5 linked regions of the Callithrix jacchus genome follow. The protein of the gene in region 2 interacts with the protein of the main gene of each other region in a pairwise test. Links are inferred from orthologs where the notes say so. Each region holds a gene or a part of one and is shown on either strand. Other genes may lie near its edges. The genes, in order: RNF125, UBE2L6, DTX3, RNF144B and ARIH2.

Region 1 (5,784 bases), on a different chromosome or scaffold from region 2:
TAGAACCCAAGACTTTTGCTTTGGGGCCAATGAATTTTCTACTTCACTTTGCTGTCTATGTATTAACTAGTCACTGTTATACTAAAACGTCTTGATTGGAAATTTGAAGTTTTTATCTGATGTAATAGAAGTATTTAGTCAACATTACAAATCCTGGTCGGAGTGTTATGTTCCACACAAACCTGTAAAATGGAGCAATGTTCAGGCATCCCCGCAGGCTTCACCAAGGCCAGCAGTACTACTGAATAGCTATTTTGGAAGAAAACGTTAAAAACAAAACTTTCTCCTTGCCTCTCTATGTGTCAAAGTGGAATTCATAACTTATGTCAGCACATTCTATAAGCAAAACAAAAGCCATTAAGAATACTATCCTCTGTAATCCCTCTCCTCTCCCATAATAAGAAAAAGAGAAATCTCTATTCAAAGTCCATTCTGCAACATTCTAAAAACAAACAAACAAACAAACAAAAAACCCCACAAAAATCCAAAGAAAAGCCATAAAGCCCAGTAGAGCACAAGGTTTGGTCTTGATATTGGCTTGTTCTTAGGTGATTTAGTTAACCTTTGAGCTTCAGATATTTCAGTTAAATTAAGATAACAATACGGTATTCACTTTTCACGGAAGTTGCTGCAAGGAATGAAATGTGATATGTACATAGAGTACTTGGCTTAGAATATAGTAGCCCTGTAAGCAAAAAAATAAAAACAAAAAACACTACTTCAGGCTCACTTTCATACCCAAGAATATAGCTGTGAGTGGCTAGAAAGTATTCTTATCAAAGTGGCTTCATCCTGACTAGCTCTGGATCATGCTTTGTCTGAAAGATCTTGAGAATAGGCTGAAGATGATTAGCCAGAAGAGGCATAAAATCCACCTGGCTTTTAGAACATCTCATAGAGCTAAGATAAAGAGAAACCTCTTTGTATTACCAGAGAGAACACAAAGACCAGAACCAAGTTCTGTTGAGGCCGGTGTGCTGTATAGGCCACAAAAGACATGCTTAGAAATATGGAGTGGAGAATTTAAAGTCTCTGTCATGTTCCTTGTTCAGTTCCTCAAGTGGTCCTAACAATTCCACTCCCATCCCATCTCCAACTTGCCTAACATCTGCTCCTGAACTATGCAAATCACTTTATATACATTAGCTCATTTAATCCTCAAAAGAGTTTTGGGAGTAGGTGCTTTTAATCTCCTCCCTTAACCAATGGACAAACTGAGTTTCAGAGGTTAAATACCTTCTACAAGGTCACACAGGTGACAGAGCTATTGCTTAGTTTAGAGTCCACATACGGTGGCTCAAGCCTGTAATCCCAGCACTTTGAGAGGTCGGGGATGGCAGATCACAAAGTCAGGAGTTCAAGACAAGCCTGGCCAACATGGTGAAACCCTGTCTCTACCAAAAATACAAAAAAAATTAGCTGGGCATAGTGGCGCAAACCTATAAGGGTAGCACCCTGCTACTTGGGAGGTTGAGGCAGGAGAATTGCTGAACCCAGGAGGCAGAAGTTGCCGTGAGCAGAGATCAGGCCACTGAACTTCAGCCTTGATGACAGAGCAAGACTCTGTCAAGGGGGGAAAAAAAAAAAACTAGTTTAGAAACAGAGGTCCCAGCATCCTATCTGGATAATAATAATAGGCAGATCGAAAACATGGAGAAAATTCTTAAATGATGATTTCCAATCATTATCAAATTTTATCTTGACATTGCATTTCATTTTTTATGTAATTTCATCTCAGCTAATAAGCTCTCGATTTAATAATAATTATTACTATGTATAGGAATAGACTAGAGTAAAAACTAATTTAAAAACTAAGTCTGGCCAGGCACGGTGGCTCACGCCTGTAATCCCAGCACTTTGAGAGGCTGAGGTGGGTGGATCACAAGGTCAGGAGTTCAAGACTAGCCTGGCCAAATGGTGAAACTCCTTCCCTAATAAAAATAGAGAAAAATGCACCATGTGGTAGTGCATGTCTATAATCCCAGCTGCTTGGGAGGCTGAGGTAGGAGAATTGCATAAACCTGGGAGGCGGAGGTTACAGTGAGCCAAGATTGTGCCACTGCACTCTAGCCTGAGCGACAGAGTGAGACTCTGTCTCAAAAAAAACAAAAAACAAAAAACTAAGTCTAACACTTTATTATACAACTATTGCGATTTTCCGGATTTAGAAAATTACAATGAAAATAACCTCATCTAGGATCCAGGGAAAACATTCTCTTTTTTTTTTTTTTTTTTTTTGAGATGGAATCTCACTGTCACCCAGGCTAAATTGCAGTGGTGCAATCTTGGCTCACTACAATCTCCGCATCCCTGGTTCAAGGGATTCTCCTGCTTCAGTCTTCCAAGTAGCTGGGACTACAGGTGTGTGCCACTATGCCCAACTGATTTTTTGTACTTTTAGTAGAGATGGGGTTTCACCATGTCAGCCAGGGTGGTCTCCATCTCTTGATCTCATGATCTGCTCACCTCGGGCAGATCCCAAAGTGCTGGGATTACATGCGTGAGCCACTGAAACTGGCCTAATTTTTTTATTTTTAGTAGAGATAGGATTTCACCACATTGGCCAGGCTGGTCTCAAACTCTTGACCTTAAGTCCCAAAGCGTTGGGATTACAGGCGTGAGCCACTGTGCTGGGTCAAAACATTCTATTTTCATGATTTCCTACTTAAGGCTAAAACGCAACACTCTAACTATACACACATTATTTCCTCCATAATTTTATTCACTTGGATTAGAAAGGTAAGCTCAACACAAACACCATAAAAACATAATGTAAAAATAAGAAAATATACTTACTATGAAATCGTCATAAAACAAAGTGTGACTAACTTGCAGATGTCTTATTAAACTGCCACTGAAGCTGGTTGGATTCTCATCAGGTATTAAACGGCAAAGTGGACAGAACTGGAAACAAAAAAGACCAGGGGTTCAATAAAGAATTTAAAATAGTTACCAGTGCCAAAATTAAAAGCAACAGGTAACCATTCAGAAACTCTCAACTTTATTAATCCATTAGCTACACCTCAGTATTATGTTATAAAATTACATATACATCAAAGTAACATTAAGCAAATAAAATTACATTTATTTCTTCATATGCATACATAACAATATAACTGTTTCATAGTCATCAATTTATTATTTAAACAATATTACGGTTACTAGATGTACTATAATTTACTTAATTAGTTTGCCTACCTCTTGGAACACTTGTTTTGTATGTGGATATTTTGTTATCACAAATGAGAATAACTATAGTGTTTACCTTTTAGGGGATTAGTTCCTTAGGAGAAATGGCCAGAAATGGCAATTACCAGGTCAACAGTTATGAATATCAGCCAGGAGTGGTGGCTTGCGCCTGTAATCCCAGCACTTTGGGAGGCCAATGAAGGTGGATTACTTGAGGCCAGGAATTCAGGACTAGCATAGCCAACATGGTGAAACCCTATTTCTACTAAAAATCCAAAAATTAGTCGGATGTGGTGGCACATACCTGTTATCCCAAATACTTGGGAGGCTGAGACAGGAAGATTGCTTTAAAAAAAGATTTTACCAGGTTTTTCCTGTACTTGTATTTGTGTGTGTGTGTGTGTGTGTGTGTGTGATATAGTTTGAAAATTTGTCCCTGCCCAAATCTCAGGTTGAAATGGTGGCTCAGGCCTGTCATCCCAGCACTTTCGGAGGCAGATCACTTGAGGCCAGGAGTTCGTGACCAGCCTGGCCAACATGGCGAAGCCCCATCTCCACTAAAAAGACAAAAAAATTTAGCCAGGTATGGTGGCAGGCACCTGTAATCCCAGCTACTTGGGTGGCTGAGGCATCAGCTCTGTCTCAAAAAAAAAAAAAGAAAAGAAAAAGAAAAAGATTTCACCAGGTTTTGCCTGTACTCATATTCTCTCTCTCTCTCTCTCTCTCTCTCTCTCTCTCTCTCTCTCTCTCTCTCTCTCTCTGTGTGTGTGTGTGTGTGTGTGATATATATTTTGGAAATTTGTCCCTGCCCAAATCTCACGTGGAAAGTAATCCCCGGGCGAAGGCTCAGGCCTGTCATCCCAGCACTTTGGGAGGAGGATCACTTGAGGTCAGGAGCTGGTGACTAGCCTGGCCAACATGACGAAATCTATCTCTACTAAAAAGACAAAAAAAAAAAAAATTAGCTGGGCATGGTGGTGCATGCCTGTAGTCTCAGCTACTCCTGAAGTTGGGAGGCAGAGGTTGAAGTGAGCCAAGATCATGCCACTGCACTCTGGCCTGGATGACAGATTAACACTCTTGTCTCAAACAAACAAACAAACAAAAAAAAACAACGGACCTAGAAGATGAATTAAAAAAAAAAGATACTAACCCAATCTGTCACTACAAAAGAAGCCAGTGTATTGCTATCCTTTATTTCCTTCTCTCTCCCTAACTTCTGATCCATTCCCCATATTATTATTTGACTATTTCAAGAAGCTTATATAAATAGAATTATATAATATTTAACCTTTAAGATTGGCTTTTTCCATTGAGCATGACTTTGAGATCCATCTGAGTTGCTGGGTATATCAATAGTTCCCTCCTTATCACTGAGTAATATTTCATGGTATGGATGTCCCACCATCTGCTTATCCATCTAGTTTTTAAAGGGCATTTAGGTTGTTTCCAGTTTTTGGTTGCTACAGATAAAGCTGCAATAAATATTTGTGTATAAATGTCTGTGTAAACATAATTTTCATTTCTCTAGGATAAATTTTCAGGAGTTTGCTTGGTTATATGGTAAGTATACGTTTAACTTTGTAAAAAACTGCCAAACTGTTTTCCAGAGTGGCTGTACTATTTTACATTCTCACCAGCAATGTATAAATTATTTAGTTTTTCCTTATTTTCCCCAATATTTGGTGTTGTCCAAATTTTTTTATGTTAGCCATTTTGATAAATGTGCAGTGGTATTTCACCATGGTTTTAATTTGCACTTCCATGATGGCTAATATAAACAACGCTTTGTAACTCTTTTTTTTTGAGACGGAGTCTTGCTCTGTAGCCCAGGCTGGAGTGCAATGGCGCAATCTCGGCTCACTGCAACCTCCAGCCCCCGGGTTCAAGCAATTCTCCTACCTCAGCAGCTGGGACTACAGCTGTGTTCCACTGTACCCAGCTAATTTTTTTCATTTTTAGTAGAGATGGGGTTTCACCATGTTGGCCAGGATGGTCTCAATATTCTGACCTCATGATCCACCTGCCTTGGCCTCCCAAAGTACTGGGATTACAGGCATGAGCCATGGTGCCTGGCAGCAGATGCTTTCAATAGTATACAAAGTGCCATATTCAAGATGTGAACAGGCAACTGTTCAAGACTTGTAAAGGGAATTACTAATTTTGCCCAGGGGTTCGGAAAGGCTTCAGCATAGTTGCTGGTAACTGAAGTGGGTCTTGAAGAATGAGCCAGCCAGGCCAGCAGGGAGGACCATTACAGCAGAAGAATCAATGAAGGAAAAGGCAGTAAATCCTAAAAGAAAAAGGCCTACTGAGGGCAATAGAAAAAGCTCACTGTAACTGGAGGTAGGGCAAGTTGGGGAAGTGGTGTGGGATGAGCTTGGAATGATAAGTTGGGACCAGTTCTGCTCCTCATTTATTCAAGCACCTGCCATGGTTTCAGTAGACTTGATGCAAAGAGTCAGAGGTACAGAGATGCCAATTACCTTGATCCCTACCATCAAGGAGCTGATTCGAGTCTAGTGAAGAAGATAAATACAGAAAACCTGGAATTTTAAGCAAAGAAGTTTTTTGTTTTGTTTCATTTTGTTTTTG
Region 2 (6,524 bases):
TCCAAAACCACCAAGAGTACCCTCTAAGAATCTGCAAGAACTGCAGTGTTACCAGGCTTGGAGTCCCCCCAGTGTAGACATGGCTGCGATGACCAAAACTTAGATCACAACACCCAACCCTCTTCGAATACCTAGAAAGACTTTCCAAGAAGGTTGAGTACAAAGAAGCCCAGACTACGGACTGTAATAAATACCTAACTCCTCAGTGCCCAGACACTAACAAACATCCACAAGCTTCAAGACGACCCAGGAAAACACAGCCTCACCAAATAAACTAAGTGAGGTACAAGGGGCCAGTTCCACAGAAACAGAGATATGTGATCTTTCAGACAGAGAATTCAAAATAGCTGTTTTGAGGAAACTCAAAGAAATTCAATATTTCCTCCACAGAGGAGTTCAAAATCCCATCAACAAATTTCACAAAGAAATTGAAATAGTTAAAAAGAATCAAGCAGAAATTCTGGAGTTGAAAATTGCAATTGAGGCCGGGCACAGTGGGTCATGCCTGTAATACCAGCATTTTGGGAGGCTGAGGTGGGTGGATCACCTGAGGTCAGGAGTTTGAGATCAGCCTGGCCAACATGGTGAAACCCCATCTCTACTAAAAATACAAAAATTAGGCTTAGTGGCTCATGCCTATAATCCCAGCTACTTAGGAGGCTGAGGCAGGGGAATCTCTTGAACCTGGGAGGCGGAGGTTACAGTGAGCTGAGATCGTACCACTGCACTCCAGCCTGGGCAACAAGAGCAAAACTCCGTCTTAAAAAAAAAATGCAATTGACATACTGAAGAATGCATCAGAGTCTTTTAATAGCAGAATTGATCAAGCAGAAGAATTAGAGAGCTTGAAGACAGAGTATTTGAAAACAGATAAAACAAAATAATAAAAGAATGAACTATGCCTACAGGATCTAGAAAATAGCCCCAAAAGGGCAAATCTAATAGTTATCGGCATTAAGTAGGAGGTGGGGAGAGAGACAGGGCTAGAAAGTTTATTCAAAGGGATAGTAACAGAGAACTTCCCAAATCTAGAGAAAGATACCAATATGCAAATATGAGAAGGTTATAAAACACCAGGTAGACTTAACCCAAAGAAGACTACCTCAAGGCATTTAATAATCAAACGCCCAGAGGTCAGGGACAAAGAAAGGGTCCCAACAGCAGCAAGAGAAAATAAACAAATAATATATAATGGAGCTCCACTATGTCTGACAGCAGACTTTTCAGTGGAAATCTTACAGGCCAGGAAAGAGTGGTATGACATATTTAAATGAATTATGGCTGATGGAAAAAATCTTTTACACTAGAATAGTATATCCAGTGAAAATATCCTTCAAGGCTGGGCACTGTGGCTCACGCCTATAATCCCAGTACTTTAGGAGGCCGAGGTGGGCAGATCACAAGGTCAGGAGTTCAAGACCAGCCTCCTGACCAACATGGTGAAATCCCATCTCTAAAAAAAAAGGAAGAAAATATCCTTCAAACATGAAGGAGAAATACATTCCCAGACAAACAAAAGCTGAGAGATGTCATCAACACCAGACCAGTCCTATTAAGAAATGCTAAAAAGCAGCTGTTCAATCAAAAAAGAAAAAAAAAGCTAATGAGCAATAAAAAATCATCTGTGCTGGGCACGGTGGCTCATGCCTGTAATCCCAGCACCCCAGCACTTTGGGAGGCCAAGGTGGGTGGATCACCTGAGGTCAGGAATTCAAGACCAGCCTGGTCATCATGGTGAAACCCATCTTTATAAAAATAAAATAAAATAACAGGTTATAAGATACTGTTTGAAAACCTCCAGTAACCTCAAATCTAAAAACATACAACGGATACATGATCTTTGGACACTGTAGAACTCTTGAAATTTCTCTGCCTTCCGCCCAATATATAATATTAAACACATCCCATGCCCCCCTCCTATCTCTAATCTGTGTTCCATCGCCGTTCAACCAATAAGCTGCTTCTGGTGCCTTCCACCCAGGTTCTATTTATCTTTACCCCATTTATCTTTATTCCTCATTTATCTTTACCCCAAACTAGAAGCATCTGCATTTCGGAAGAGTTTCACTATCATCTGTGATTCTTTGGCAAGAACGAAGCCCCAGGTTGACCAGAGAAGATCTGGAATAGACATTTTCCTGACTTGACTATAACTGGGCACCCTTGGACTTTATCCATTTAGGGTGAGTTCTGCCAAAACGTTCCCAAAGCCTGAGGAAGTTGAAACCCAACTTAAAACACAGTTCTTTCCTACTGCCTATTAGGAAATCACCTGACTCAGAAGAACAGAAAATGAAAGTAGAGAGGCCATTAAAAGGGCCTGCAGACCTGGCTTCATATAGCAGTCCCACTGCTCCTTACTGAAAGACTCTGGACAACCAAGTTATTTTCTCTGCGCCCCAATTTCCTCATTTGTAAAACGCGGGTGTATATTACTTATCTCACAGAACTGCTGTGAGAATTAAATGAAGTAACTGCGTAAACTGTTTGGCATTCAACGGTTCCAGTGCAATAAATTCTGGCTCCCATCTCTCTCCCACTCGGCTGGAAAGACCCTCTGCCTCATTTTGCTGCCAACCTCCAGATTTAGGTTCTGGGCCAAGCCTGCTCTGGGTGTCGCAGTCTGAGGCCATTTTCTTCTCAGAGGCTGAGGGTAGCACCCTGGGTTTTTCCAGCTTCTGGAGGAAACTGCCCCCTCCCCATCCTTCCAGGTCTTGTTTCAAATTGTGTCCCTGATCGGAATAAAATTCAACAAGGACTGGATTTGTGTTCATCTCTGCCCGCCCCACCCCCACCTCCTAGAACCGGGCCAGCACATATAGGCATTCGACACTGGCAGAACTCACTAATGCAAGCCACCTACTCCAGGAGGCCTTCCAGGTCCGCCTCCGCATCTTTTCCTCCAGAGAATACCCAGGGAACTTTGCCCCAAATTCTAATCAGCATTCCCTGTTTCTCAGTACTCTAGTAATGCAGGCATCAAATTGTGGGATGGGCCATGGCTTATTCCAAGGCAAGGACTTCATCCTGGTCATTCGTGTTCATAACCCACCCAGCAGTAGCAGAATGCCTGGCACCAAGACGCCAAGAACGCTTCCAGCACTGGAGCCGCACTCCATCCTTATCACAAGTTTCAGGCAGGAAAATCGAAATTGAAACCAGTTTGGTGGGAGCCGGCTCATCCTCACCACGCATACAGGTCAACGGGCCAGCAACATCCCCTCCCCATGGGCCCTCCAAGCCCCCAAAACTCCAGCTCTGGCCACTCGTGCAGGCCAGACTCCTCCTCTGAGTAGAGGGCGGGGAGGACAGGGATTCGGCCAGCGCAGGTGCCCAGACAAATAAATAAATGAGCTCGGAGAACCGCGGAGGGGATGGAGGGAGGCGGGAATACGCGGGGGGGGGAGGGGGCGGGGGGCGGCAAGGGGAGCCAAGAGAAAAGGGTCACCCTACGAGCGATTACCTTCGCCACTCGCACGCTCGCCGTCATCTCGGGACCGAGTGTGTGGCACCAGCGGCCTCCAGCAGGACCGAGTCCCGACCCGCGACACCGCGCGCCCCGCCCCACCCCGCCCCGAGGACCCCACCCCCGGCAGCCCCGCCCACCCCTCCTCCCGCGTCGGTGCGGGACCTCCCCGCACCCGCTCGGGCGAGGCCAGGAGGCCGCCAAGGGACAACCCGCCGGGCACCCGCCCGATCCCCGCGTGGAGGTCTCGGACCCGGGACTCACGGTCTTTGTGGGGAGACGGGGGCGGGCCTCCGGGCGCGCGGCTCTGCGGACCGTGAGTCCTGAGGGGGCGCGTGCACCGGCCGCGAGCGTGCAGGGGCGCTGGGGGGCGCTCATCCGGGTTCCGGTCCCCTCGGTTGGAAGCTGTCCGCTCTCTGTCAGCCCTCCGCGCGCCGCCCCACATACACGCTCGCCCTGAGTAAATAAAGGATGCTTGCTGTGCAAACGCAGCTCCGTGACAGTTCTCGGCGGCCTCAACCATTAGACCACCGCCCTGAGCCCCTGCCCCAGCGAGCTTCCGCAGCCCCCGAGCCTGCAGCCTTCCCTCCGTGGGCCCAGCGCTCCATCTCCGAAACTGCGTGGTGGACGGCGTAGACCCGTGCCCTCCGAGCCGCTCCCCCGCTGTCCCGGATCCTTTGTGCTGTCTGGCGTTGCGCGCGGGCCGCAACGTTTCTCCCCGTGGCTTGGAGAAGAGCACCGCAAGGAGGCGCTGTTAGACCCTTTCTCTTTTGCTCTGGGGGTTCGGTCGACCGTCGTTCAGTCCTTTACTAGGCTTAGTATTCACTAAGTGCCTACTGTATGCTGGTTTGGGAAACGGTTGGTGGGAGATGCCCCTAGACGGACTCCGGAGGCTCCTCTCCAAGAGAGTCTGCTCCTCCTCCCTTATTTTACTACTGCTGGTCCATTACAAGCTGTGGGCCTAGCGTATGCCCCCATGCATCGCTGGAGTCCCCACCCCTCTGGGCAAGGACGGAGTACTTGCAGCCCCTGAGCACCAAGCAGCATCTGGGGAAGATGAGACTTGTTGGGAGGGCCAATCCCTCCCTCCTTCCCCTTCCCCACCCAACTTTAGTCGAGAGGAGAAGGGAAATCAGTAGATTTTGAGCACCGGTTTGTGATCTCAGCAACTCACAGTTTTGTTGTTGTTGTTTGTTTTTTGTATTTTTAGTAGAGACGGGGTTTAACCATGTTGGTCAAGCTGGTCTCGAACTCCTGACCTCGCGATCCGCCCGCCTCGGCCTCCCAAAATGCTAGGATTACACGCGTGAGCCACCGCGCCCCAGTTTTTGTTTTTGTTGATTCTGACAGAGTCTCACTGCCGCCCTGACTGGAGTTCGGTGGCAATATCGGCTACTGCTGCCTTCGCCTTCCGGCTCAAGCTGTTCTCTAGGCAACCTCCTGAGTAGCTGAGATTTACAGACCCGCACCCCAACGACCGGCTCATTTGTGTATTTTTAGTAGAGACAGAATCTCGAACTCGTGGTTTCAAGTAATTCGCCCAGCTCGGCCTCCCAAAGTGTTGGGATTGCAGACGTGAGCCACCGTGCCCGGCCCATAGTTTTAAAATAAGTATTTTGATTCCCAGTGATTTTGCAGATCAATTAATTGTGTTTCATTCAATTCAATAAACTTTAACAGCATCTCCTATATGCCAGAAATGAATAGGACACTGTCTGTAACCTCTGAACAGGGGTAGAGATGAGGGAACAAAGACATTCACACCTGCCTCTGATCAGTAGTCTCAGTCAACAAGCACTTACATCCCAGCACTTTGGGAGGCAGAGGCCGGCAGATCACGAGGTCAGGAAATCAAGACCAGCCTGACCAATAGGGTGAAACCCCATCTCTACTAAAAATACAGGCTGGGCGCGGTGGCTCACGCCTGTAATCCCAGCACTTTGGGAGGCCGAGGCGGGTGGATCATGAAGTCAACATATCGAGACCATCCTGGTCAACATGGTGAAACCCCGTCTCTACTTAAAAAAAATACAAAAAATTAGCTGGGCATGGTGGCACGTGCCTGTAATCCCAGCTACTCAGGAGGCTGAGGCAGGAGAATTGCCTGAACCCAGGAGGCAGAGGTTGCGGTGAGCCGAGATGGCGCCATTGCACTCCAGCCTGGGTAACAAGAGAGAAAATCAGTCTCAAAAAAAAAAAAAATTAGCTGGGTGTGGTGGTATGCGCCTATAGTCCCATCTACTCCGGAGGCTGAGGCAGGAGAATCACTTGAACCTGTGAGGCGGAGGTTGCAGTGAGCCGAGATCAATCCATTGCACCCCAGACCGGCGACAGAGCCAGACTCTGTCTCAAGAAAACCAAACACACACACACACACACACACACACACACACACACACACACACGAAAAAACCAGCACTTACTACTTGGGGGCAGGCGTTGCCAGCAGAAAACACCAGGATGAAAAAGGGGAGTCCCCGCCCCTGAGGAGCTCTCAGACTACTGGGCCAGAGGGAGAGAATGCAGCTCCTGATTTTTAATGATAATGATGTGGAGAATCACCTCGTACTCCGGGAATATGAGGAAGATCACTTAATCTCCCTTCAGAGAGGGGCAGACATTTCCCGAAAGAGAGAAAAATCCAAGCGTATTGTGAAACATGATGAGTCAGCGAGAGTAAGAGCGTGGGATGAAGATGTCCTAACAAGAAGGAACAGCATGAGCAAAGGGGGTAGTGTCTACAGAAACAGGAGCAAACGCCTCTGTCCACGCTCTGTAGCTCTTTTTTTTCTTACAGAAACGCTGCATCCTGAGGCAAATTCACAGTAGTGGAAATAGCTGGGTTCTAAGCCCACACACAGTGGGGCAGCCCACAGGTGTGATTTTCATGTCCTTTCACAATGCAGACCTCTGTGTGTCAGAACAAGCCCCAGGGATATCTGGGTTCTAGTTCCACATTTGCCCCCATGTGCAGTATGGCTTTGGGTGGGTGTCTGCTTCCCAGGACCATTGTGAGGCTAAGCTGAGGGAAATGGAGGAAGTTTGAAAATTCTAAGTC
Region 3 (6,394 bases), on a different chromosome or scaffold from region 2:
GGGATTACAGGCATGCACCACCATGCCCAGCTAATTTTTTGTGTTTTTAGTAGAGACGGGGTTTCACCATGTTGACCAGGATGGTCTCTATCTCTTGACCTGTGATCCACCTGCCTTGGCCTCCCAAAGTGCTGGGATTACAGGCGTGAGCCACCGCGCCCGGACTCTGTGCAGCTTCTTTACCCCTCTGCACCCAGAATTCCACATTACTCTTTGTCCAGCAGGAAGACACCTATAGGCCCTTGACCACTCCTGTTTTAACCTTCCACTGGCATCAAGGTTTTGCTCTCATACATCTGACACAGAGAGATGCTCCTGGCTCTGTTGGGTTGTCAGATCCCTTCCTATTGTGCCTGCCTGCCCCTAAGCCACCACCTCCACAGAATTTACGTCTGCCAAATGTCACCATAGTATTTATGTTCACCAAGGAAATAATATGTAATTTCTTTCTCTCATATCTGATGTGTGTTTTTTTTCCTAGCTCATATCTGATTTTTATGTGTACCTTAGGATCACAGGGATGGAAAAGCTGGGCCTCACCAGGACCTCCTAGCTCCAGGGCACCGAGTAGGAGGGCACAGAGGAAGACAACAAGACTGTCTCACTTCTAACAAGCACATACCCTCACCCAGTTTTCCTAGGTCAGAGGCTGGGGAAGCCAAAGGATAAGGGCAGGACATGGTCTTCTTACCCCTTGGACACCGGGCGGGAAGACGTACTGGATGACGATGGTGCCGTACTTCTCGTAGCTGGGCAGTAGGAGGGTGGCGTCCTTAGAGACCAGCATCCGCCCATTCTGGGGCTGGTTGCCCACCAGCTGCCCATAGAAGCGGCCACACATGGGGCAGGCTTTTTTCACCTGCAGAGCCCGGGTGATGCAGCCCTCGCAGAATGAATGCCGGCACTTCTCCAATGTCTTGGCGTTCTGGATCTCCCCCAGACAGATGGGGCAGGTGCTCTCCTGCTCTTCTGCCTCCTCCCGAAGGCGAGGAGGAAGAGGTGGGGGCAGTGGGGGAGGAGGAGGGGGGAGCCCCCGAGCCCCTGGGGGCAGAAGTGGGGCTGCTCGGAGAGGGGGTGGGCCTGGGCGGTGCATCTCAGGGTGCTCCCCTCCACCCCCCAGAGCCAGGCAGCCCATCAGCTCCCCCTGCCTCTGAGCTTTCTTCAGCTCTTTCTCTGCCTCTTTTAGCAGCCCCTTGAGAGCCTTCCGGGCTAGGTAGAGCCCATTGGGAGGGGCCGGGGGAGGGCCCTGTGGGGAAAGCTGGAGAACATAGATGTCAGAAGTCTCGCCATCTATAAGGATGGACACACGGTGCTCCTCCCGAAGCCGGGCCAGCCGGGCTGGGGTCTCCTTGCTCAGGAAGTCCCACACAGGCTTGGAGACAGTCACTTTGTTCTTGCAGGTGCCTCCACAGGCTGCCATTCTGGACAGGACGAACGACACTGCCCCCAGGGTGAAAGGGACTCAGGGTGGGGGGTCCCCATTTGACAAGTATCAGTGCCTCCTACTTCAGATTCTTTCCAAACCCCCTATTACCTGTTTCTCAAAGCCTAATCCCCAACCCTTCCCCCAAATTCATATTCTATCTCCCTTTATCTTCCAAAGCCCACTGAAGACCAAGCAAGTTTCCAGAACTGTATTATCATCTAAACCAAGCATCAGTCTTGTTTCTCCTGTCATTTCTCCCAGATCGTAGAGACAATTTGCCCCTCCCACCTCTGAGGGAAAAATGGGCTCTTTAAAGGGGAGGGAGATTTTTTGCCCCTCCTTTTTGCTTACTTTGATCCCGAAGAGCTTAGAATTGGCATGCAGGCTCACTCTTTTTTCCCTGCTCCCTACTTGTAGGTCGTGTGACCTGGCAGGGCGGAAAAAAGGAAGGAAAGTGAGAAACCCCTTCTCCCAAATCCCCTGGCCCCCAACCTAGCAGCCCATGGAACAGAGACAGAAACCTGGGCATAGGTTACTGGGAATGGGATTACTTGGAACACGGAATGAAGGAAACCAGTTTCAGGGTGAACATTGAGGATCCCTTGTTGGGGAGGTACCTGGAAAGCCCATGGAAGATGATGGCAGCAGAAATCCTTCTATTTCCACTCAGCTGACCAGGCCTGGGAGTGGGGGAAGGGTAAAAAGTTATGATGGCAAATGTTACCATTTCCCTCAGCCAACCCAGAAATAAAAACTCCCCTTCCATTTCCTCTATCCTCTGCAGAATTCCATCCTCAGCTTCTCCCCAGGTTGCTCAAGAAGGAACTTCAACATGCTAACCTTCCTCCTTTCTTCCCCAGCTCTGAGGCCCCCAAGAAAGCCTAGGGCACACATAAGAGAAGCCAGGAAAGAAAAAGCCCACACAGGTGGAGGTCTTCCTGACGCCTCCCTCAGATCACATGAACTGGAGTATTTCCTGTGTTCCCAATTCCTTGCGCTGCTCCATATTCCCAAATAATTCAGCCCCTATTGCCAGGGAGCCTTCCTTGAGAGCTAACTCAGTCCCTTCCGCTGAAGTCTGTTAAAGAGGTGAACGAAGTGGCAGCAGCCCCCACAATAACAAAGTTCTCATTGTCACCTTTTAAACCCAGCACAGGCAGGGCTGTCTGTCAGCTCCCTAGTCTGGTATTTAGGGAGGGGCGGGGCTCACACAAGGGCTCAGCTGGAGAGGCCTGATGTTTCCCCAGAGTCTGGTCGCATTGGGCTACAGTGCTGTCCCCACAACACCTCCCAATGCAGCTCAAACAGAAAGAGGGGCCATAAGTGTGACCTCCATTTATTGACTGATCCAAAAAAGGAGCAGCTGTCCCTTCATGTTTCTATCATCATCCCCAAAGGCCAGAGGCACCTTGAGATTCATAAAGTGAAAATGGAACACTAGATCTTCAGCCCATACAGTCTACCCGCGATGCAACACCTCCCGTCTCATCACAGGGGACCCAGGACCTAGGTGTCCTAGCTCCAAGTCCTGCTGGCATAGAAAAGGGAGGCGGGGCCACAGTTTAGGGTGGGTCTGTGATTCCTCCGTGGCAACCCAGGCCGGACAAGGGACCAGTCTCCCTCCAGACCCAGGCCGGAGGGAGGGACAGCCGGGAAGGGCAAGGGTCCCTGGGGGCATCCACTGAGGCCGCTCCAGCCCTCCCCCCAAGGCCTCCTCCAACACCCGACCCGGAACCAACTCCCCACATCTCTCACTCGCCGAAGCCCCCGGATCCCCACCCCCGGGTGGGGGTGCAGGTCGGCCCGATCGCAGCTCTCAGAATCCCCGAATAGAGGCCAAGGCTGGAGGGTGCTAGAAAGATGATCGCCCGGGCCCGGAGCTGGGGGCCCAGAGCCGCGTACGGGGAGGGGTGGGGGAAGAGGGGGTGCCGGGGGAGCGGGGGGCGTGTGAGGGGTGCTAGCGGGGCCTGGGGGGCGCGCGGTGGGTGTGGGGGGCGCCGGGCTCACCTACCTCTCGTCAGCGCCGCCATTGCCGGTCACATGACTGAGGCTGTTGCTGGGATGACGGTCCGGGCCTTAGCAACAAGGGGGGGGAGACCCCGAGAAGGTGGGGGGTTGCAGGGGGTGCAGGCTGATGGAAAGGGAAGGAGGGAGGACAGCACCCCCTTTCCCCTCACAGGTGATAATCACCGTTCCCTTTGACCCCCTTCTATCCGCAAGCCCCTGCTCTTCCTCCCCAGAACAAAAATGGAGGAGCTGTCCCACTCTTTGGAGGGAGGGGGTGGCGTCACGGAACTGAGGGTAGGAGGTTAAATCCCTGGAGACGCCACCCTTCTCGCTCCCGCCTCCCAGCAGAGCACTCTCCCTTTTCTTTCCCAGCCAGCTGCGTAGCAGCTCCCGGGAGCTGGTGGTGGATGGGTGGGTGAAGTGTTGGTGGGTATATGGGGATTCGGAGGGGGGAGGGCGGCAATTTTTTGAATCCTTGTGGTAGAAGGGCCTTTGAGGAACAATGTGGGTTGGGGAGAGTCATAGTAAAAAGAAAAGCATTGGTTCTAAAAAATAAACAAATCCCGGTACTAAACTATTTCAATCCCCTCCCTCATCTCCTGCCTCTTTCTAGATTGTTACCTCCTGTGACCCCCACAACGTGCTCTCAGATGGTCATTGGTAAGTGCCTCCGATTTTCTCTTTCCACAAACGGATATGGAGGCTGGTGCAGAATGGGAAGTGAATACATTTTTTAAAAAGTGGCTTGGGGTGGTGGTTGTGTCAAGTGTATGGTTCAAATAGAGTTAAAAACTCTCAAAGAAAAAAAGCTCTGCTCTGCTTCCCACTTCAAGCAGTCTCCGCCCCCAATCCAACTCACTTCCCTGAGGCCAGCCACATCAAGCCAGGTTTTTCCACCAGCCAAAAGACTTTCTCAGCCAAGACAGGAATCTCCCAAACTGGCAACAACCTCTATTCATCCACCCCTTTTTCATTCCCCCTCTAGACTGGAGGGCTGGTCACTTTCTTCACTTTCCCAGGACCCTGCTGCAGCTGTACTCTTCCTTCCCTCCAGGAAGAGGACAGCTTTCCCAGGAAGTCGGTGGGGGGTGGAGTACTGAATTCCTTTTCTTTTAGCAGGTGGGCTGAGAGGCCCACTCACCTTTGCCAAAATGGAGTGTTAGCCAAGCCCAGAACTCTGCGAAGAGGAAGGGTCCCATCACCCTACTCTTCCCTGGCCCTCACTACCGCTGACCTGCCACAAGGCTAAAAACTAAGCTTTCCATTTCCGTGCACACACTTCACAGCCTTTTCAAAAAAGTTCACAGCCATCTGTCTAGAAACCCACATCCTTAGTTAGGGGCTCAACACCTTGAACACCAAAATTCTTCAGCTGGTTTCTGCACCCTTAAGCACAGGCTTCCTCAGAGAAGTGAAATGTTAATAAAAAAATTTAAAAAAAAAAAGTATTTCTGTACAGGAATTTGGATTGAATAATTTATTCCCTGTATTATGATAGCAATGGGAGCAAATACACGAATTTTTTTTTTTTTTTTTGAGACAGAGTTTCGCTGTTGTTACTCAGGCTGGAATGCAATGGTGCAATCTCGGCTCACCACAACCTCCGCCTCCCAGGTTCAAGCGATTCTCCTGCCTCAGCCTCCCAAGTAGCTGGGACTACAGGCACTCACCACCATGCCCAGCTAATTTTTGTATTTTTAGTAGAGACGGGGTTTCACCCTGTTGACCAGGATGGTCTCGATCTCTTGACCTCGTGATCCACCCGCCTCGGCCTCCCAAAGTGCTGGGATTATAGGCGTTGAGTCACTGCAACCGACCACGAATTTTTTTTAATAAAACAAAAAAGATGATAAACAGAAGCAACAAATGAAGACATCCATACTGCCCATAATACATCAGCCATGTGATCAGAAAACCCATTTCTAAAGAACAACAGTTGCTGGTGTCACAAAGTTTTATTGCATTCACTGGGGGAAAGGGAGATGGTTGGAATGAAAAAGATCCATCAGTCTCCTGACAGGAAGATGTTATAGGGGCTCCAACCCCTAAAACTGGGTACTCCTCTTGCTACCTCCTTTGGAGCAGAAGATGAAGAGGAGAGAGAGAGCTTCTCCCTATTGCCTCATGGCTTCTTGGGAGATAGATCAGTCCAGCCAGATACAGAGCAAAGCAGCTTTGCATCACCACAGGCCAGTTGCTGGTGCCCATCTTAAGGTTTAAAAAAAAAAAAAAAAGTGGAAGCCTCAGGGGGATGGAGGCTAGCAAGATGAATGGGTGCCTTGGCTCCAGAGGCATTGTAGGGTGGGGAAGACAATGTATCTCATCTCATCAGGGTTCTTAACATTACGAGAATATCACACATCATCAACTCAACTATCTTTGGAGGGGCTGAGTGATTGAGTTATGGCTCTGACTCCTCTCTGGGGGTGGAGAGTGAAGATGACAAAGAAGTCCATCTGTCCCCTAAGAGACACAGTAGCAGTATAAGACAGGACAGAAGAACAGAACAACAAATCCAACTGGAAAAAGGGTTTGAGAAGGGGTGGGAGAAGGAAGTGTGCTAGGCACACACATCCAGGGAGTAGGGGAGGTTCCCACACTGAGGACTCCATCCTCTTGAAATGACCAGAATTGATCCAAGTAGAGATATTCCCTTCTTCTGAAAATATACCTTGGGGATGGCTAGGCAGGATGAAAGGAAACTTTTTTTTTTTTTGAGATGAAATTTCACTCTTTTTTTTTTTTTGAGACGGAGTTTCGCTCTTGTTACCCAGGCTGGAGTGCAATGGCGTGATCTCGGCTCATGGCAACCTCCACCTCCCGGGTTCAGGCAATTCTCCTGCCTCAGCCTCCCGAGTAGCTGGGATTACAGGCACGTGCCACCATGCCCAGCTAATTTTTTTTATATTTTTAGTAGAGACGGGGTTTTACCATGCTGACCAGGATGGTCTCGATCTCTTG
Region 4 (5,784 bases), on a different chromosome or scaffold from region 2:
CAAATTTCTTTTCAGTCTCGAAAACACAAAACATTTGACATCTGTAATACAGATGCAAATTAAAGTCTGGGAAGTATTAGACACATCTTTAAGTCATTCTTTAAAAAAGAAGAAATAAATCTCTAACCAAAAAAAATTAGAGCAGTATTTCAGTTGAGCCTGATTCATATTGCAGTTTTACAGACACTAATGTAATCATACATCGCTTACTATTTTGGCAGCTCATAGATAATAGGGTAAGAGGACACCCGGGAAAGTTAATGTTTCGTGGTGCAAAAAGGTCCAAATTGAGGGATACCAAAAATATTAAGCTATTTGACTTCCTGCTTTTGAGCACTTCCTAATAATGAGGAAGTGTGAATCTAGATGATGAAGTAAGCTAACTGTACTAACTCCTACCCTGACGCTGCAGAAAGAGAAATGAGAAGCAGCCATGCTGTTTTTAATTAGGAACTAAAATCTACTGAAACAATAACAAGACAGTGTTACTTCCCTGCGAAGATGAAATACAACCTTCCCCCGTGTTATCTGCCCAGTGTTGACACACAAACGTGAATTCTGCACTATTAAATGTCATAGCAAAAACTGAATTCTTTTAAACAGCAGTAACCCTCAGCGAAATATTTGCATCCCAATTTTCACCAAATGTTGCTTCTGACTCATTTGTTTCAAGGATTAGCAAGGGTCTGCAGCAAGGTTGAGAAAGCCAGAGAAATAATTGTTTTGAAGGACAGCCTTCAGAAACAAAGCAAGACCAAAGGAAACTGAAGCTGCTCTGAGATGACAAGGCCATTTCTCTACTTCCTGTAAACAAACAAGAGGAAGGAGAAACAGTACAAACATTACTCCTCAGCAAGGCCAGCTTCTGACCACCCTATTTAAAACAGCAGCATCCTCTCAGCCCTGAACTCCTACATAACTTTCTCTGATAGACTATAAGCTCTTAAAAGCAAGAAACATAGCTGGGTTTTGTTTCCTAAACTGATAAATCCTGGTGCCTAGAACCATTCCTGGGACTTAGTTCCTGCTTAATAGATATCTGTTGATTAGATGAACAAACAATGTTATTCTCTGTCATGGAACCCTATAGGAACTCTATTTCCTATCTTTATACCTTAACCAACCAACCGTCGAAGAAAAGTGGCAGTAAAGGCCACAGGTATTGACATCACGTGTCACACTAAAAGGGGCAAGCCCACTCCTGGACATCTATAGGGTTCTTATTAAGTGGAATAAAAAGCATTCAGCATATTGTGAAAACAGAATAAAAGGAGCTATGACAAAGTATAATTTATACCATGTGCTTTGTGGAAAATGAACAAGTACGCAAATGAAAATTCGGTAGATAAAGTAAATTGCTACCTGACTTCTCCATCATTCAAAAGACCTGGTGAGTTTCTTATAGGTGGTACTTAACTACAGAATAAAAAATAAATTTTTCTATTTTGTTCCATAGCTACAGAATAGAAAATAAGTTCCATACCTTGAACCTTAACAGAAAGACTGTTCAACCAATAATTAAATTTCAAACATACATTATACTTACCTAGAACAGGTAAACCTATGATTAACCATTTAAGATACTATTTGAAAATAGATTCAAATATGAAATGCTTTCCAAAGCAGGATCATATCGCAGCAAAGTTTGGCTTCTCAATAATCTGCAGAAATAGATCCTACTTTTATAATTTTTCCCAATGTATTTTCTCACAGAGAAAGCATCAAGGAAAACTTACAGCTGTGCAAAAGATGCACTGGCATTCCTGGAGTGTGGTCATCTTGTCCAGAGACTGCTCACACAGACAGAGTTTGCAAGTGATGAGGGGTGCCGGAGCCAGGTCTCCAGGAGTGGAATTTTCAGCTGTCATGGCGAGATAGTGGAGCCTACCAGCTGAGCTCATCAGACTGTCTTCAACTTTCTTCAGTCTCCTCAATCCCTATAAAAGGTCCAAAGCACAAAATATTATATGGATTGATAAAGCTCTTGTTTAGCCAACACATTAGGAGGCCAGGTGATCAAATTCTCACCCTCAGTTATCCCTAAACTTACAGCGAATACATTTCTGAGAACCACGGGCTAGAGAGCGTGCTACCTTGGCAAGGTGTCCCTGAAGTCCTGAAATTTAAGCTGACCTCACCGTCCTGATTCACATCATATGAGTTACGGAAATTAAAAGACCACTACAGTGAGGCGGGAATGAGGAGATGTTGGTCAAGCTTACAAAGTTCCATTTAGACAAAATGAGTAAGTTCTGGGGAGTCTCATACAGCATGGTGACTAGGGTTAGTAAGAATACATTGTATACTTGAAAATGGCCAACAGTAGATTTTAAATGATCTCACCACAAAAAAAAACAAGAGAAGTGATAATGTTCATTAGCTTGATTTAAGTATTTCACAATGTATATGTGTAGCAAAACACCACACTGTCTACCGCAAATACATATAATTTGTCAGTTATACCTCAATAAAGCTGAGGAGGGGAATACCACTAGAAGCAAACATGTCATTTAGGAGTTGCATCACTACAATCAATTCAACAGACCCAAAAAGTACTTAAAAATAGAATGCCACTCAAAAAGTTAAACAAAGAGGTAACGTATGATCCGGCAATTCCTCTTCTGGGTATATGCTCAAAAGACCGAAAGCAGAATCTCAAAGAGATATTTGTACACCCATGCTCATAGCAACATTCTTCACAATATCCAAATAGTTGAAGTGACCCAAGTGTCCATCAACAGAAGAATGAGGCTCGGCGCAGAGGCTCATGCCAGTAATCCCAGCACTGTGGGACACCAAGGCAGGTGGATCACTTGAGGTCAGGAGTTCAAGACCAGCCTGGGCAACATGATGAAACCACATATCTACTAAAAATACAAAATTAGCCAGGCATGGTGGCACATGTCTGTAATCCCTGCTACTTGGGAGGCTGAGATGGGAAAATCGCTTGAACCTGGGAGGCAGAGGTTTCAAGTTAGCCGTAATTGTGCCACTGCACTCCAGCCTCGGTGACAGAATGAAATTTCGTCTCAAAAAAAAAAAAAGAAAATGAAAACCAAAAAAAAACACAGAAGAATGAACAAAATATGGCATATACATACAATGGAGTAAAAAGAAATAAAATTCTGACACATGTTATAACATGAATGAACCTTGACATCATGTTAACTAAAATAGACCAGACAGAAAATCAAATATTATATAATTCCACTTAGATGAGGTACCTAGAGTAGTCAAATTCTGAAAGACAAAAAGTAGAATACAGGTTACCAGGAGCTGGTGGGAGGGCGAAATGAAGAGCGATTGTAGGTTAATTTTTTCCCTAGAGACAGGGTATCTTTCTGTTGCCCAGGCTCGAGTGCAGTGCCACAATTATAGCTGACTGCAGCCTCGAGCTCCTGGGCTCACATGACCCTCCTGCCTCCACCTCCCAAGTACCTGGGACCACAGGAGGTGGAGACAGGTGCACCTCCTCACCTGGCATGTTCAACGGGTACAGAGTTTCTGCTTGGGATGATGAAATAATTGTTTTCTTCATTTTATAGATTAATTGTGGTACTGAGAAGTTAGGTAATCTGCCAAAGTTCTCAGAGCTTGTACATGGCAGAGCAGAATACAAACCTCAACTTCTGAGGCCACCAAGCCCAGTGCCAGATCCATTACACCAGAGCTGCCTTACGTGGATGTCACATGGACAGATGAAGCTGGGAAAGGGAGGAGGAAGGGGAACGGAAAGAGAAAAAGAGAGTTCAAATCCATGACCACAGCTATCCTTAAGGTCCCTAAAGTACAGGAGCAAAATTTGAGCCGAGGCAGGTGGATCACGAGGTCAGGAGTTCAAGACCAGCCTGGCCAAGATGGTAAAACCTCATCTCTACTAAAAATACAAAAATTAGCTGGGCGTGGTGGCAGGTGCCTGTAATCCCAGCTACTCAGGAGGCTGAGGCAAAGAATTGCTGGAACCTGGGAGGCGGATATTGTAGTGAGCCAAGATTGCGCCACTACACTCCAGCCTGGGTGACAGAGTGAGAACCCGTCTCAAAAAAAGAAAAAATAAATAATAGCAAATACACCTCCCCCTATAAGAACCAAAGTCTTTTCCTCTTAATTTTCAGACAAAAGACATGACATGTATGTCATTAGCTACCTAGTCCCACAATAGCTTAAGTCTCAATATGTAAGAACAAAAGTAATAAAACAAGTAGGTGAAAAACAAATTCAATTAGATGGAAACGGAAAAAAATAAATGAGATATTTGCTTGTCGGTCTGTCCACATTCACTTTAAGTCATACCAAAAAGTCAACAATTACTAACTCTAGCAACCTGGAGCACTTCAGGTTTTTCACCTACTCCCAGTACTCAGTACCAGAAGCCTTGAGTCCAAGTAATTAAAAACCATGTCTTCCACATGTTTCCATGTGTTTCCATTTTTTCTCGGCAAAGGTCCAATAAGGTTCAAGAGAGAGTTTTCTTTTTCCATTAACTACTGAGGAGCAATCAACCAAGAGCAAATTAAATTCAAATAAACCTGCACCTCAAATTCGGGTCTCTTTAGGATGGACACAGGCATAAACATGAATGATTTTACCTCTTCCTTCTTCCCAGTTCATACTTAAACAACTGTCATTAGCTTGCGTCTCCAATACTCCCCAGCTCACAGCACACAGTCCCACCAGCTTCCCCAGCCGCAGTCTTCTCATCTCTATGTTCTTAACACTGCTGCACTGCTTAATTAGCTTTCTTTCAAGAGAAATCCCAAGTAAATCAACAAGAAATGTAGGTAGTAAATGCTTTCAGAGTAGGGGAAAAGGAGAAATGACAGAGACCAGGACCATCCCGCACTCCAAATGTCAAATACACTTAGCCGTTTGGAGAAAGCTGGTGTGAAGAGCCAAGTCTGATGTTCTGACCTCACAAGAGATCTGGGTGCTCTTCAAGAAACCCATGTATTTCTCAGTCTTACTCTTTATTATTTTTTAGGAGACATTTAACAGGCCAAAATTTTAATGTACTCTTGAAAAACAAAGACATAATTGGATACCTCTTAGAAATTAATTGGATACTCTTGAAAGACATATTGGATTACTCTAATACCTCAATTGTTACCCATATTTGAATACCTATAATTGGATATTTCTTAGAAATAGTCTTCTTTTGAAGGTAGAACTAGAAACTGTGGCAATCAAGGCCATGTGAAACATAATTGTCTCTCACTCTAAACAGTACGTAAGTTTGTACTCCTTAAAACTAAGGTGTTACATGCCTATAGGCTATGACGTCAAAGTTATAAAAAATATATGTTATATGTAAAAAATGTTTTCATGATAGAAAAGCCTTTACATAGCAGAGATGCATTTTGTTTAAAAAATTCCAAGCATTCCAAACAGGCAGGACTTGTGACTCAGTGACAGAGGAAAAAAGTTACATATTTCACCTCTTTGAGATGTGAACAATCCAAGATGATTCTTCAAAAAGTGATTTATTTTTCTGTGTACAATACCAATTCTCTAAAGCAATGACTCTCAGATATTTTTCAAGCAATGAGCTTTCCAAAAAACAAAAATCTTAGTCAAATCACCACTGTATAAAACAGATTCAGGTAGACAAGTGTTGGCACCCAACAGTGGGTGTCCAGAGCCAGTCCCCCTTGACCTTCCCCACTCAGTAGCCCCCCAGGCGCCATCACAGAAGCCTAAACCTGCACCACGCACAGATTAAAAACTAACCCGTTAGTTTCTCACTTTGGGCAAAACCAACAATGAATGTTTAAAAAGTGAATGTCA
Region 5 (5,784 bases), on a different chromosome or scaffold from region 2:
CTCAAACTCCTCGGCTCAAGCAATCCACCTGCCTTGGCCTTCCAAAGCGCTGGGATCACAGGCACCCTGCCCAATCTTTTTTTTTTTTTTTTTTTTTGAGACAAAGTCTTGCTCTCTTGCCCAGGCTGGAGTGTAATGGCATGATCTTGGCTCACTGCAGCCTCTGCCTCCCAGGTTCAAGGGATTCTCGTGCCTCAGCCTCCCAAGTAGCTGGGACTACAGGCATGTGCCACCACACCCAGCTAATTTTTGTATTTTTAGTAGAGATGGGGTTTCACCATGTTGGCCAGGCTGGTCTCAAACTCCTGACCTCAAGTGATCCACTCTAACCTCAACTGATCTGCCTGCCTCAGCCTCCCAAAGTGCTGGGATTACAGGTGTGAGCCACCATGCCTAACCCTTCAGAAAATCTTTTATTTTCCTTTGGAGTAATGCATACACAGGACAAAGGAGAAGTAAAGGGCTCTAGTTTTCCCTGCAGGCAGAGGCAGTGCAACACTCTTAGAAATCCCTGGGACATCCAGCAGAGAACTGGGTCCTTGATGGACGTAGCAAATGAAGATGTGGATCCACAAGCAGAAGTGTGGAACGCTGCACAGGGTGCTAAAATACCCTCTCCCAGCAGGGCTTCCCACCTTCAGAGGTCTGTGCCCGATGGGGCCAGGCACTGGAGCAGGGATAGGATGAGTGAAGTGGTAGATACCTTGGCCAAGAGCTTGGCAGCATTCTGTAGGTACTGCCAGTCGATCCATGTCCCCAGATTGTTCATGACCCTCTCCTGAATCTTCTCGTGAATCCGCTGGTATGTCTGTGCCTCTAGCTGCAAGCTTTTGTTGTGGTTTTCCCACTACAGGGCACAGAAAGAAGAAGAAAACCACAGGAGTCCCACAAAGGTGCAGAGGTCTACACAGGAGTTGAGGATAGACACCTTGATGGCAAGACATGGCCACGGACTCCTCTAACTTATGGAGAATGTGTGCAGGAGCAGGTCTTCTTCAGCCATCCTTCTAACCTGTCCAGAGCAGCTGTATGCCTGCCAGATCACACTACCTTTCTGGAGCAATGGGACTCCAGCCCTGAGGACTATGCAAAGCTAGGTCCCTAATGGTCTAATGTGCTCTTTGGGCTTCTGAAGGGCTCCTTCAGAAAGGAGAAACTGCTTTCCAAATATGACTACTGAGATGATACTATGGGAACAGATTGTGAGGACAAAAAGAAAAAAATGAATAAAAATTTAAAACGTAGAAAAAAGAAAAAAAAAATGGCACTAGATGGAAAAGACTATCTGATGGCCCTTCACTGTCCTTCAACCAATCATTTGGCTGGGCGCAATGGCTCACGCCTGTAATCCCAGCACTTTGTGAAGCCGAGGTAGGCAGATCACAAGGTCAGGAGTTCAAGACCAGCCTGGCCAATATGGCAAAACCCCGTCTCTGCTAAAAATTACAAAAATTAGCCAGGTATGGTGGTGGGCGCCTGAAGTTCTAGCTACTTAAGGAGGTTGAGGCAGGAGAATCACTTGAACCCGGGGGGGATGGAGGTTGCAGTGAGCTGAGATCATGCCACTGCACTCTGGCCTGGGCAACAGAGAGAGATTCTGTCTCAAAAAAAAAAAAAAAAAACCATCATTCAACCAAGGTCAGTACCAGTTCCTTCCCTGTTGGCTGGGGATACCCTGTAGAGCTTGAAAGGCACATCTATACAGGCAGCACCCAGGGATACCGCAGGAGCTCCATTCACTGACTTCTATGTGTACAGGCTGGCTCTGGCTACCAGTCCATGGGAATCCCACCCCAACAGGCCAAGTGGAAGAAGCCAACCCTGTAGGGGAAGGTACAGAAGAGGACACCTACCCTCTCAAAGTAGAATAAGTACTTCTTGAGGGCTTCCCTTGCCTGGGCTTGTTGGCTCTGGTTCACAATGTCAGGATTCTCCTTGTAACGACTGCACTCATAGTATTCACTGCCATGAGTCTTCCAATCTCCTAGACACATCCAGCAGAAGTCTGTACAGAACAGAGAAAAGTCTTTTACATCCACAAGACAACTCCACTTTCCTCCAAAGGCAGAGTGAGACAGACAGACCCAGCTCCAAAGTGGTCACCTGAAAAGAACTTCGCAAGGGTGCCTCTTTCCAGAAGGAATGTGCACCTCTCATCCCTGTCATATCCTACTGTCCTTATAGCCTATACTTGCTGATATGAACAATAGCCTATGGATAATTTCTTTTTTTCTTTTTGAGATGGAGTCTTGCTCTGTTGCTAGGCTAGAGTGTGATGGTGCAATCTCAGCTCACTGCAACCTCTTACACCTTGGTTCAAGCAATTCTCCAAGTAGCTGGGATTATAGGCACATGCCACCATGCTCAGCTAATTTTTGTATTTTTAGTAGAGACAGGGTCTCACCATGTTGGCCAGGCTGGTCTCAAACTCCTGACCTCATGATCTGCCCACCTAGACCTCTCAAAGTGCTAAGATTACAGGCTTTGAGAGCCACTCCACATGGCAGCTTATGGATAATTTCTATTCCATCAGCACATGTGCCATGTGCCTTATTAATCTAACACAGGCAGATGCTGACCATAGACTACTGGTCTGCTATGTCAATGCCACAATGAGAAGCAGGAACTCATCCAATTGAGGACTACCTGTCTAAACACATCATCAGTAAAAACTGACCTCCCGACTGCTTCCTACCATCACATTCGTCCTAGAAAGATTTCTGTAGTCCTAGAAAGATTTCTGTATCGAAAGCTAATAATAAAGGCTTTTTCCCTTTTTTTCTGTTTTAAAGAACACAATTCCTATTCTTTTTGAGACAGAGTCTTACTCTGTCCCCTAGGCTGAAGTGCAGTAGTGCGATCTCAGCTCACTGCAACCTCCTCCCAGGTTCAAGTGATTCTCCTGCCTCAGCCTCCAGAGTAGCTGGGATTACAGGTGCCCGCCAACACGTCTGGCTAATTTTTGTATTTTTAGTAGAGATGGGGTTTCACCATGTTGGCCAGGCTGGTCTCGAACTCCCAACATTCAGTGATCTGCCCATTTCTGCCTCCCAAAGAACACATTTCTATAAAACCAAGAGCAATCCAATGGTTCATACTCAGAATTATTCTGTTTTGGCTGAGCGCAGTAGCTCACACCTGTAATCCCAGCACTCTGGGAAGCTAAGGCGGGTGGATTACCTGAGGTCAGGAGTTCAAGACCAGTCCAGCCAACATGGTGCAACCCCCATCTCTACTTAAAAAAATTAGCCAGTACAGTGGCACGATCTCAGCTCACTGTGACCTCTGCCTCCTGGGTTCAAGATTCTCATGAAATGGCAGTTAACTCTGGGTGTCAAGGGATACTGACACCCGGGGACTTCTTAGGCACTAAAAATGTAGTGGGTGCTGGGGTGTTTGTCATTATTCTTTAAGCTGTATGTGTCTTTTGCATTGTTCTAAGTCTATGATACACTTCCCTCTCTGATATATACATAGAAAAAGAGAAAGAAAGAGTGTGGACCCACAGAAGAAATATGCCACTACCTATGGCCTATCTTCGTTTGGCACTGCAGAGTCAATGTTGTTAAGACCCTGCCATGACCACTCTGATTAAGAGGGGTCTTCGGGCTGGGCGTGGTGGCACATGCCTGTAATCTAGCACTTTGGGAATCCAAGGCAGGCAGATCACCTGAGGCCATGAGTTTGAGACCAGCCTGGCCAACATGGTGAAACCCCATCAGCCAGGCGTGGTGGTGGCGCCTATAATCACAGCTACTGGGGAGGCTGAGGGAGAATCGCTTGAACCCGGGAGATGGGTTCACACCACTGCACACCAGCCTGGGTGACAACAGCAAAACTCCATCTTTAAAAAAAGAAAAAAAAGGCCAGGCACGGTGGCTCACGCCTTTAATCCCAGCACTCTGGGAGGCCGAGGCAGACGGATCACCTGAGGTAAGGAGTTTGAGACCAGCCTGGCCAACATGGTGAAACCCTCTCTCTACTAAAAATACAAAAAACTAGCCAGGCTTGGTGGGCACCTGCAATCCCAGCTACTCAGAAGGCTGAGGTGGGAAAACTGCTTAAACCTGGGAGGCAGAGATTGCAGTGAGCCAAGATTACTCCACTGCACTCCAGCCTGGGAGTGACAGAGCGAGACTCTGTCTCAAAAGAAAAAAAGAAGGCTGGGCACAGTGGCTCACACCTATAATCCCAGCACTTTGGGAGGCTGAGGCAGGTGGATCACAAGATCATGAGATCGAGACCATCCTGGTCAACAAGGTGAAACCCCGTCTCTACTAAAAATACAAAAATTAGCTGGGCATGGTGGTGCGTGCCTGTATTCCCAGCTACTCGGGAGGGAGGCTGAGGCAGGAGAATTGCTTGAACCCAGGAGGTGGAGGTTGCAGTGAGCTAAGATCGTGCCATTGCATTCCAGCCTGGGTGACAAGAGTGAAACTCCATCTCAAAAAAAAAAAAAAAAAGAAATAGAAAAAGAAAAAAGAAAAGAGGGTTCCTGGGAATAGCATTCACACAGGCCCTTACAAACAAAAACTCTCAGCCAGGCACAATGGCTTACTCCTATAATCTCAGCACTTTGGGAGGCCAAGGCAAGTGCATCACCTGAGGTCAGGACTGGCCACCGTGGCAAAACCCATGTCTACTAAAAATACAAAAATTAGCTGGGCATGGTGGCATATGCCTGTAATCCCAGCTACTCAAGAGGCTGAGGCAAGAGAATCACTTGAACCCAGGAGACAGAGATCGTACCACTACACTCCCATCTGGGCAACAGAGATTCTGTCTCAAAAAAAAAAAAAAAAAAAAAAAAAAGTAGAAACTCTCGGGGGCTCCTGATAAGCATCAAAGCAGCTGTCTGTGTAGGAGACCTACTTCGACATATTTTCTACTTGAAGGGATTCTGTTTCTTCAGTTGACCTGGCAGGAAGCCATGCAAAACCAATTGGTTCTAGCTATGTAAACTACTCCTGATCGATAAAGGAGGTCTGAAATGCTAAATCAAAACCCCCTCTATAAACTTTGTAAAACAGCAAGAGAAAAGCATTATTTTACTGCCTCTGGTAAAGGTATCTCTAAGGTAGCACAGATAAGCCCCAAGCTACTTACCAGCCTTGGCAAAGAATGAAAGCAACACCCTGAAATCATCTTCTTGGATGACTGAGGATCATGAGGATTATCCCAAACTTGACTTCTGACTATATGTGTTAGCAAGATAGTAGTGGGGTTATAAGAGGGACCAAAAAATAAAATAAGCTACTTTATGCCAGTTATTGTGACTGTAAGTGAATGAGGCTCTTCTTTGTTTTGTCATTTCATGGCAGAAGTACTCACTTAAATAGTAACGAAGACCCAAGCACAAGAAAATGCCACTGGGCCTTACATACCAAGCTTGGAACTCACCGTGTTTACATTTGGAGCATTGCTGTCAGAGGAAAACAGAAGAGAACATGTTAAGGGCACAATGACCAAAGGCTCCATGTCACACATGCAAAGTGTACAGGCTTCTGCTTACCATATGATTGCAGCCTCCATTCTTCTCAATGCAGATGTTGCACTTGGGACACTGAGGAGACAGAAGGGTGCCATTAGGCTCATATACCACTAGGCTGGTTTTAAGACAAATTACACAAAGCTCCCAACACCTGTGCCCAGTCGCTCATCATGTGAGCACTTCTGGGGAGGAGTATCTCACTTAAATGTGGCAGGTCGCTGAGGGTGGAACAGCAATTCAAGGAAATGAGGTCAGTATATTTGGCTCTGAAACACTTCAAGCACCAGCTGAGC

Evidence for each region.
Region 1: the proteins of UBE2L6 (region 2) and RNF125 interact in a two-hybrid assay, tested with the Homo sapiens proteins (3 studies listed by BioGRID and IntAct). The link is inferred for Callithrix jacchus from reciprocal best matches to the Homo sapiens genes UBE2L6 and RNF125.
Region 3: the proteins of UBE2L6 (region 2) and DTX3 interact in binary tests that used the Homo sapiens proteins (3 or more experiments, as listed by UniProt). The link is inferred for Callithrix jacchus from reciprocal best matches to the Homo sapiens genes UBE2L6 and DTX3.
Region 4: the proteins of UBE2L6 (region 2) and RNF144B interact in binary tests that used the Homo sapiens proteins (3 or more experiments, as listed by UniProt). The link is inferred for Callithrix jacchus from reciprocal best matches to the Homo sapiens genes UBE2L6 and RNF144B.
Region 5: the proteins of UBE2L6 (region 2) and ARIH2 interact in binary tests that used the Homo sapiens proteins (3 or more experiments, as listed by UniProt). The link is inferred for Callithrix jacchus from reciprocal best matches to the Homo sapiens genes UBE2L6 and ARIH2.

What each region holds. Positions count from the first base shown.
Region 1 is NC_133514.1:75,145,812-75,151,595, reverse strand, and holds part of RNF125 (E3 ubiquitin-protein ligase RNF125), read right to left. Parts: intron 2,905-5,784; coding exon 2,797-2,904; intron 1-2,796. UniProt on the Homo sapiens protein: E3 ubiquitin-protein ligase that mediates ubiquitination and subsequent proteasomal degradation of target proteins, such as RIGI, MAVS/IPS1, IFIH1/MDA5, JAK1 and p53/TP53.
Region 2 is NC_133511.1:115,133,714-115,140,237, forward strand, and holds the start of UBE2L6 (ubiquitin/ISG15-conjugating enzyme E2 L6), read right to left. Parts: upstream 4,185-6,524; 5' UTR 3,845-4,184; coding exon 3,731-3,844; intron 3,567-3,730; exon of another isoform or gene 3,491-3,566; coding exon of another isoform or gene 3,464-3,490; intron 1-3,463. UniProt on the Homo sapiens protein: Catalyzes the covalent attachment of ubiquitin or ISG15 to other proteins. Functions in the E6/E6-AP-induced ubiquitination of p53/TP53. Promotes ubiquitination and subsequent proteasomal degradation of FLT3.
Region 3 is NC_133510.1:62,090,905-62,097,298, forward strand, and holds the start of DTX3 (putative E3 ubiquitin-protein ligase DTX3), read right to left. Parts: upstream 3,465-6,394; 5' UTR 3,438-3,464; intron 2,542-3,437; exon of another isoform or gene 2,267-2,541; intron 2,107-2,266; 5' UTR 2,044-2,106; intron 1,854-2,043; 5' UTR 1,807-1,853; coding exon 1,778-1,806; intron 1,441-1,777; coding exon of another isoform or gene 1,422-1,440; coding exon 692-1,421; intron 1-691. UniProt on the Homo sapiens protein: Regulator of Notch signaling, a signaling pathway involved in cell-cell communications that regulates a broad spectrum of cell-fate determinations.
Region 4 is NC_133505.1:12,443,438-12,449,221, forward strand, and holds part of RNF144B (E3 ubiquitin-protein ligase RNF144B), read right to left. Parts: intron 3,705-5,784; 5' UTR 3,661-3,704; coding exon 3,622-3,660; intron 1,938-3,621; coding exon 1,737-1,937; intron 1-1,736.
Region 5 is NC_133516.1:31,596,759-31,602,542, reverse strand, and holds part of ARIH2 (E3 ubiquitin-protein ligase ARIH2), read right to left. Parts: intron 5,564-5,784; coding exon 5,513-5,563; intron 5,423-5,512; coding exon 5,401-5,422; intron 2,006-5,400; coding exon 1,854-2,005; intron 848-1,853; coding exon 704-847; intron 1-703.